Rattus norvegicus: one gene and its partner. The protein of the gene in region 2 purifies or fractionates together with the protein of the main gene of each other region. This does not show direct contact. Links are inferred from orthologs where the notes say so. Each region holds a gene or a part of one and is shown on either strand. Other genes may lie near its edges. The genes, in order: Dync1i1 and Bicd2.

Evidence for each region.
Region 1: the proteins of Bicd2 (region 2) and Dync1i1 purify together in Homo sapiens (affinity purification with western blotting; 4 studies listed by BioGRID and IntAct, with this or other methods). This does not show direct contact. The link is inferred for Rattus norvegicus from reciprocal best matches to the Homo sapiens genes BICD2 and DYNC1I1.

What each region holds. Positions count from the first base shown.
Region 1 is NC_086022.1:35,109,162-35,112,969, reverse strand, and holds part of Dync1i1 (cytoplasmic dynein 1 intermediate chain 1), read right to left. Parts: intron 2,109-3,808; coding exon 1,968-2,108; intron 1-1,967. UniProt on the Homo sapiens protein: Acts as one of several non-catalytic accessory components of the cytoplasmic dynein 1 complex that are thought to be involved in linking dynein to cargos and to adapter proteins that regulate dynein function.
Region 2 is NC_086035.1:15,508,212-15,512,678, forward strand, and holds the start of Bicd2 (protein bicaudal D homolog 2), read right to left. Parts: upstream 3,095-4,467; 5' UTR 3,005-3,094; coding exon 2,765-3,004; intron 1-2,764. UniProt on the Homo sapiens protein: Acts as an adapter protein linking the dynein motor complex to various cargos and converts dynein from a non-processive to a highly processive motor in the presence of dynactin.

The DNA of each region.
Region 1 (3,808 bases), on a different chromosome or scaffold from region 2:
TTGCAGAGGAGTGGGGGTGGTTGGGTGGGGACAACTTGGTTTAAAAGTATAATAATTTGAAGAACAACAAAGCAGATAGGGAACATAGGCTCCCTCAGTCTTTTAAAATCTATTTCCTAATCTGACTTAAACCTGAAAAAAAAAAAAAAGAAAGAAAGGGTTTGAAATTGTGAGGTCCTGGAAGTGAGGCTGCCTTGGTGTGCTTTTACCATGGCCGTGAAGCCAGAGCGCTTATCATAAATCTTAACTCTAAGCATGACCGGCCGTGAAGTTTTAAATGTTAACTATAAAACTACTCTGAGTTTCTCTCTTTGATACCTATAGAGAGTGAAGGCAATGTCAAGATATCACTTTGAGGGAGGGAGGGGGAGAGAGAAAGAAAGAGAGAGAGAGAGAGAGAGAGAGAGAGAGAGAGAGAGAGAGAGAGAGAGAGAGAGAGAGAGGTTATTAAGGAGGTGAGGACCACTACATCCCTTCCTATGCACCAGAGCTGGGTGTCATGAAAACATCACCTCGGCTTGGCCGGCTTTCTCATATAGCACGCTCCCGAGTCAATCTGGAAAGCGTTTTTGTTTTTTTGGTTGCTTAGAGTGAGTTTCTTCTGGCAAATAGAAGCAGTATGATTTTAATCAACGGTGATGAAAGACTTTGGGAAACCATTACAACGTAAGGTAATAGCATCTCACTATTAAACGCAATGATGTTATAAACATTTCAGCATCCCAAACGATGGGCATCTCACTCCTGCCCTCTGAGGATTTTCAAAGATACCTTCATTATGTAACTTTCTTTCCCCCACAGTCCTTGGAGGTAAAAGAAAAAAAAATGGCTGTGATGGAAATACATTTGCCTGGTGATAGCTACAGAAATATGTGCCATTAAAAGCACCCAGGCACAACACCACCTGAAGGAAATTTCCCTGTCCCCTCCCACAAAAAAAAAAACAAAAAAAACCCTAGTCTCCTGTTCTCCTCTATGTCCTCCAGCCTTAGGATCCTTAATTAAAAAGGCTGAATGACTTCCTGTCCCAAGCTCTTCAAAAGACTGGCTTTGCTTGACAGGTACCTTGTATCATGCACTCTTTACCTGCATATCTGTACCCAAACCAAAAACCAAGAAGTGATGCAGAGGCCATTTTTAGGACACATAATATTCATGAAACATGTTCCCTGTCAACAACACCAATCCTAAGGCTCTGAATTAGACCCTCAGTACTTCCCAGGGATTGAAAGAAAAGAAGCAAAGCAAATAAAATACACTTTAAAAGTAATCATTTTGTTATCAACTTTTTTCTTTTAAAGAAATAGGCATCTTTCACTCGTGAATGACTTTAAATGTGACATGTTAAAAATCCCATTTTAAAAACTGAGTTTTGCATACATGTTTCAACTTAGACACTACTGCCTTTGAGTTCAATATCGCAGACAAGGAATATTTCCTTAGCAAAAATCAAATGGATGGCAGATCTAAACAGAAAGTCGTGTAGAGAATCATATTTTATGGAGTCAAAACAGAAATGGTACGAATAGCCAGCGTCGACAGGGTAACCTCATTTCAATAATCCAATCTAAAAAAGACGGCACCCAGAAAATCTTACTTTTCCAAGTCTGCCAATAAAGCTATTTCAACGCTATGTGTCCTTCCCCTCAGGGAAAAGTGTGAACACAATTTGTGCTCTTGGGGGCGTGGGTGGGGTGGGGAAGGTGTGTGTGAACCAGAGTCAGTAACTGTCTAAGATCTGCTACAGTTTAGGAATGAAGTGAAATGGAGTTTTGGCCAATACATCTGCTAGTTCCCTTCCAAGTAGTTAAGAATTGGGGGCTGGGGGTGGGGGCGATGGACGCTGCCCAGAGGCTGTTGGAGGGTCTGTCCACAAAAGGCAGGTCTTTTTTTCCCCAGGAAGAATCAGACTGCAGAGTGGCCCGGGTGCCCCCTCCCAGCCCTGGGCCCGGGAGCCTGCTGCTCACCTCGGTGTCACTGTTGAGGTTCCAGAGGTCCAAGCGCCCCATCCCGTCCACGCAGGCAAAGAGCGCGGGATGCACGGGGGACCACATGACATCGTACACATAGTCTGCATTGTCTTCAAAGGAGTAGAGCGGCTTGTTGTGCTGTAAAGCAGAGAGACCGTGAAGACTTAGTGGCGCTGCCGCCGCCTCGGGCTGTCTAGAGAGCCTAATTAAAAACTTTGCACATTCACCAAGTGTCATAAAACTTCCCGAGATGAAAGTCCTCGAGAAGGTGAACCGGAGCTTTAATGTGACTACAACTGTCCAGTGGCATAAATAAATCCCCGGGGGTGGGGGTGACTCTGAATGGGCCGGGGCCGGGACCCGCGGAGCGAGGCGGTTTCAGACACAGTTGTAAGCGACATTCCAGACAGGTGGACGCGACTGCCATTAGCTCGGAATTCTTGCCAGGCCAAGCTGTGCAGGTCGCTGGGAGCCTGAACCCAGGAGTGGGCTGAGGGGCTTGGACCCGCTGGGATGCTCCGAAGCCCGGGCGGTCCCTGGCAACCCTGACTCTGCACCGAAGGCAACGTCTGCCACCTCGTGGTCCTCCCTTGTCGCTGCAGCAACGGTGGCTTCTTCTAGTCAAACTGCAGGCCAAATTCATATTTTAACTCTTTCTTTGCGGCGAAGGAAACGGGACAAATACCTTTAAAGTCGGGTCTCAGCTCTTACAAGAAAGTGGAAATCTATCTAGTTAAGACCGTAGCCTCCATATTATGGGGTGGGGTTAGTTCGCCCGAACCAAGTGGAGCAATGTAGCTCATTCTAGAACCTCTGAACTTACACATAAAATATGACATCCTTTCTAAATCACCAAGGATTTCCAAGACCCCTAAAGTTGATGTTCTGAGGGGAAACACTGAACATTCTTCCACTGCATACAAATGCCTCCACTCCAGAGGGATATAATAAATTAAAATGGCACACTTGATTTCCAGCGAATATTGTCACATCAAAATAGCACAGAAGTCAGAGGCAAGTTTGAAAGTACACCAGAAATAAAACGTAATTGGACTTTATGAATTATTCATTCCATCTGGCTTGTCTTATTCTAATTTCTGCATAATGGCTTTACTAATCCCTGATCAATTAATGTAAAATGAAATTTAAATGATAATGAAAGCCCCAGAGATAAAAGAAATTAACTATTCTTATATCCTCTGACAGAAATCTAAACAATGGGAATTTTTGTCTTCTTCCTCTAGTCAGCTGTCTGAACTCTCTTCTCCGGCTCTGTGGAATGCCGACACAGGCCAGGGTGGTAAGATCAAGAAAAGATAACATACAATATAACAATCAAATCCTTTCTGCCTTGGATATTCAGAGAACACATCTGTAGGGAATCGGCTCCAAATATCAGCAAGAACTGCCAATGTGTGGGGCTTGTGAATGAGAGATGCCCAAAGTACATGCGCTGAAATGGGAATGAGGAAAATCACTGTAAACCCACAGGTCTTTAACTGAAACAGAGTGCAACGACTTATTATGGGAGTCACTATAATTGACTTATTCCCATTATTTGCATTTCCTGGACATTTAAAAGTCCCTGGTTTGATGCAAACGAAGTTTAGTTACATTAACACAACACAGATGGTAGATGGACCAATGGGTGTGAATGTGTATATGAGTGTGTGAGTGTGTGTGTGTGTGTGTGTGTGTGTGTGTGTGTGTGAGATAGATGTGTCATATTTTAACCTCAAAAGTATCTGTGAGAGTGTAATTTGAAAAGGAATACTTGTCATTGAAACACCAAAAAGGAACAAACTAGACATTTGTCTTATAGTGGTATGATATTATTA
Region 2 (4,467 bases):
CTCAGCCCATTCTCCTACCACAACTGCTCTCCTCTGCCCACCCCGCACACCTATATACCCAAAGCTGCAGCGAAGGCCACAGCAAGCTGTGTCGTGACCACTCGGGACCAGGAACAGGCTGGCAAGAGTCCATCTAGTCCTCTTCCCCACCATGATGGATAAGCAGAAGAGGCGCAGAAAGACTTGGGACAGATGTGGCCCTTACTGAGTTAGACACACAATATCAGCAAAACAGGCTATGAGGCCTCCTCTCCACTTCTAGCCTCAGTCAACACCCGGGCCATGGTTGTAAGCAAGACATAGCCATTCTCCCAGAAATAAAGACAGCGGGGTCAACGCTCAGTTGGCTCACCAGCACAAGCTCTCCTGGGATCTGGTTGTAAACCCTTTCACCCAGGTCAGACGGCTTCCTCACCTCAAAGGCTTGCATGACTAAACTCGGGCAAGCACACAAGCAACTCGACGACAGCATAACTTAACTTGTTAGTAACTAAATCTACCACATTTAAAGGAGCAAACAACTTAAGACAGTTCACCTCTCTATGGGGAGAAAACTTCCTATATACGCTGTCTCCTTAAATCTTCATTTTTTTTTTTAAAGTAGAAGTTAGTATTTCAAATACAATACTGACCAAGATTAAAGAGTTTGACCAGAGCCTGCTTTGGCATGGGTGTGAGGAACAATCTGCTGACAAGAGGCAGATTGGCACAAACTTTTGGCAACACTCTCTGAAGCTGATGCATTCCTCTGGACTCCACCAGAAACTTCTGGAAGAAACCTTATCCCACCTCACAAATGGGAGAGGAGCAGCCTGTCCAAGCCTATACAGTGTGGGACTGGCATTAGACTAAGCAGATACCTAAAGGGCACCTAGAGAATAGATCGCACCCTCTTCCTCATCTTCTCAGAGGTTTCCCTCCAGATACAGAGAAGGCCACATGTATGCCACCATTGTTCTTCACTGAGTCATAAAATGATTCTGCCCATAAAACAATTGCAGGAGGCTGACCAACAGAAGTCACCCAAGTGAGGACCGACTAGATCACCAACAGCCAGTTTTCACAGCACATGCCCCTGAAAGAAACCTGCTAATTCAGAGGAGGAGAGTGGGCTTCCCAGGAGAGGTTCACAGGCATTCCACAGGAAGTGGGAAGGCAACCCATATGTATGTGCAGTGGGAGTGGTACTGTAATTAAAGGGTGCAGCTACCTGCCTGGAGCACTAAGGAGGGGGGAAGGGAAGCCCCAGACAGAAGACTAGATTTGGGAAGAGGATACACCCACTCCATATTTTCACAGTCCTGACCTTCATCTATCACCTTGACTGTCCCCTCCCCCTCCAGGGGGGGCTGCCCATCCCCCTCCTTTTGTCAACCCACTGCGGATGGAGCCAGGCTTGGGAAAGTAACTGATGTCCTCTGACAGACAACAGACTTGAGATTCTGTGGGAAGACTCAATTCCTACCTTCCCACAGAAGCAGCCACTTCTGGGACTCACCCAGCCCTGTTCTACCCAGACTTTAGGGATTCATTCCCCCCCAGAAAAGAAGAGAGGCTCTAAAGAGTTCAGGCACCCACCCAAAGCTGGCTGGGAGCAGAAGTATCCAAAGATGAGCCTGTGATTTTAACACCCGAGAGCAGAACTGAGTCTGACAGGGAAGGGAAACCATTTAGATAATCCAAAAAGCTACCTGTGTGGCCCACATCAGGCCTTTCTAAATGCAGAGCACTCAGAGCAATACTTGTGGGTTGGCAAAGCTGTATTCCTACTTTGCAGAGCTGGAAGCTAAGGTTTGAGGAGAGCTTGCCCATGGCTCACCCATAGCTCACCCATAAGCAATAAGGGGGGGTTGGTCCAAACTCAAGTGTGTCCCTCTTCCAGAAAGCATTTCCCCGACAGTCTCCAGAACACGGCTGGGGAGTCAAGACGGATGGGAGAGTCACTAACACTTAAATCATCCCAGAAAGCTTACCCAGGTCCCTCCTACTGCATCCCCCCCCCCCTCAAGCTCTTAGCCAGCCTGGGGGGTCCAACCTCTCTCCCTACAGTGGGATGACACAAAGCACCAGGTTCCGACAGAAGGAACGCAGACTCCAGGGCGACAGGCAGGGCCTAGGAGACCGAGCAAGACAGGAAGCGGTCGATGGAAGCCATGCTTCCCAGTAGTGGGTGCACCATTAATGAGATTGGGGGGGGGGGGGGGGAAGCAGCTGACTGAGCCAGAGCTAAGTCACACTGATGCGATGGATACTGGGAAAGCCGGCCTGTCAAGGGTCATGGGCAATCAGGAGCTGCGACTCACTGTATCCATCCCTTCCCAGCCTCAGGCAGTCATGAAACCAGATGAACAGCACAGAAAGCAGCTGCTCCAAAAAGGGGGGCAGTGATTTGCTTGAAGATGACAGACTGTGGTCAACCAGCCCCAGGCTCAGCCTTACCAAGGGGGTCACTTTCACGGACAGCCTCAGCTGTAAGGGCATCGTCTGCTCCCCCGCCGCCTACACAGACACACCCAAGGCAGCAATAACCATAGCAGGACATCAGTCCTCAACGAAAGGACTATTAAGGCCTGCAGAGAAAACTAGCGGGTACGTGGAGCTGCAGGGAGCCTAGACCCCAGCAGCAGGGCACGGGGCCGAGCATGGTCACTCTCCGTCACTGCCTTGGACCACAACTCTAGGTCTTCTGCCCCACCCCTGGTACCTCCCACCACTGGGCAGGATGACCTCAGAGCCCCAGGCAGGGGTCGCAGCCGGCCACTACCTCTTTGAGCTGCTCCATCTCGCTGCGGATGGCCTCATAGTCCACCTCGAGCTCCTCGAACTGCAGCTTGAGCTGGTGCTTCTCCTCAAGCACCGCCAGTCCATACTCGGCCGCCTGGATCTTCTCACGCGTGGTTTCGGCCAGCTCGTGGGACAGTCGCTTCACCTCGGCGCGCAGCCACTCCGGCTGCGCCTCCATCACCAGACGCGCATACTCCTCCTCCTCCGACGGCGCGGACATGGTGGCCGCGCGCCGAGGCCCGCTCCCACCTTGGCTCCCACAAGCCGGGCCCTCTTAGCCGCCGCCGCCGCCGCCCAGCCCCGACGGCCGCCCGCGCCGCCGCACTGCTCCTCCCTGACGCGCGGGGAACACTGGGGGCTGCAGTCCCACTGAGCATGGACTACATAACCCGCAGTCCCTTGCGCCCACCTGGTCTGAGGCTGTGATTGGTCTAAATCTCAAGGGGGCATGAGCCTAAAGAGACGCAAAGCTACGTCTCCCTTAGCATTGTGGGAGATGTAGTCCTACTGTGCGCTCACTGCTTGGCCTGTTGTGTGCCGCGCCTGCCTGGCTTCAATCGGTGATTGGCCGGCGCCGCTGACGTGACAGCAGTAAGGGTGCCACCGACCCCAGCCCAAGGACCCCGCAGCCACCCGGAGAACCTCCAGCCTTGTGCTCCTATCCTTTCTAGAGTAAGGCGATCTGAGCTGTGGAGACTACGAATAAGATTCGCGTCCTACAACGTCAGAGCCTGGTTGGTGAGACTGTGTGGCGCGCGCTCTATGCGGGATTTGAATGACTTGTGGCGGGCCGCGGGCACTGCCAAAAGGATGCCAACAACCTGACGCTAGGGGCTCAGCGGAGCCCAAACCCGGATACTACTTCCTTCCTCTTGTCCCTTTGTCCGTTAGGATATTCTTTCATAGAAATGAAAGCACCTCCGTGAGCATAATGTCATAGGTGTGTTTAAATGTTGTCTGTCCCCGATTTTCGGCGGGACATGGCTGTACTCTTCACTGTATGTCTAAATAAAAGTTCCCTCCTCGCATGGTGATTTGGATATAACAAGCTTATTCCTCTTCTCACTGCACACCCTCCGCCCCCGCAACACCACACCCTACAGCTGCGGACCACCATAAAACATAGAGGTCAGCTGGAGAGAAGGCTCAGAGGATAAAGCTCTTGCTCAGCAAGAGCAAGGACCTATATTTGCACCCCCAGAGCCCACATAAAGCACAGTCTATAATCCCAATGTTCCCAAGGCAAGATGGGAGGTGGAGATTGGAGAATCCCCTGAAGTTAGACTAGTGCATGAAGTTGGGGGTGGGGGTGGGGAACTAAGATAACCGGCCTCAAACAAGATGCAAGACAAAGACTGACAACTAGATCTGGCCCTCTGATTCCCAGTGCACGTGGGGCCTGTGTGTACCCACAGGAATATGAACCCACTTCACCATACACACACACGCACACACACGATTAAAAGAAAATCTAGGGCCAACACAAGAATTGTGTAGTAAATAAACTTTGTGTGGTGGAGCACACCTTTAATCCCACCACTTGGGAGACAAAGGTAGAAGGATTTCAAGGCCAGCCTGATCTATATATGAAGTTCCAAGCCAGCCAGGACTAAATAGAGAGACCCTGTCTCAAAAACAAGAGAGAGTTGTATAAATACACGTGTTGTTACCTTTTCTCTTGAG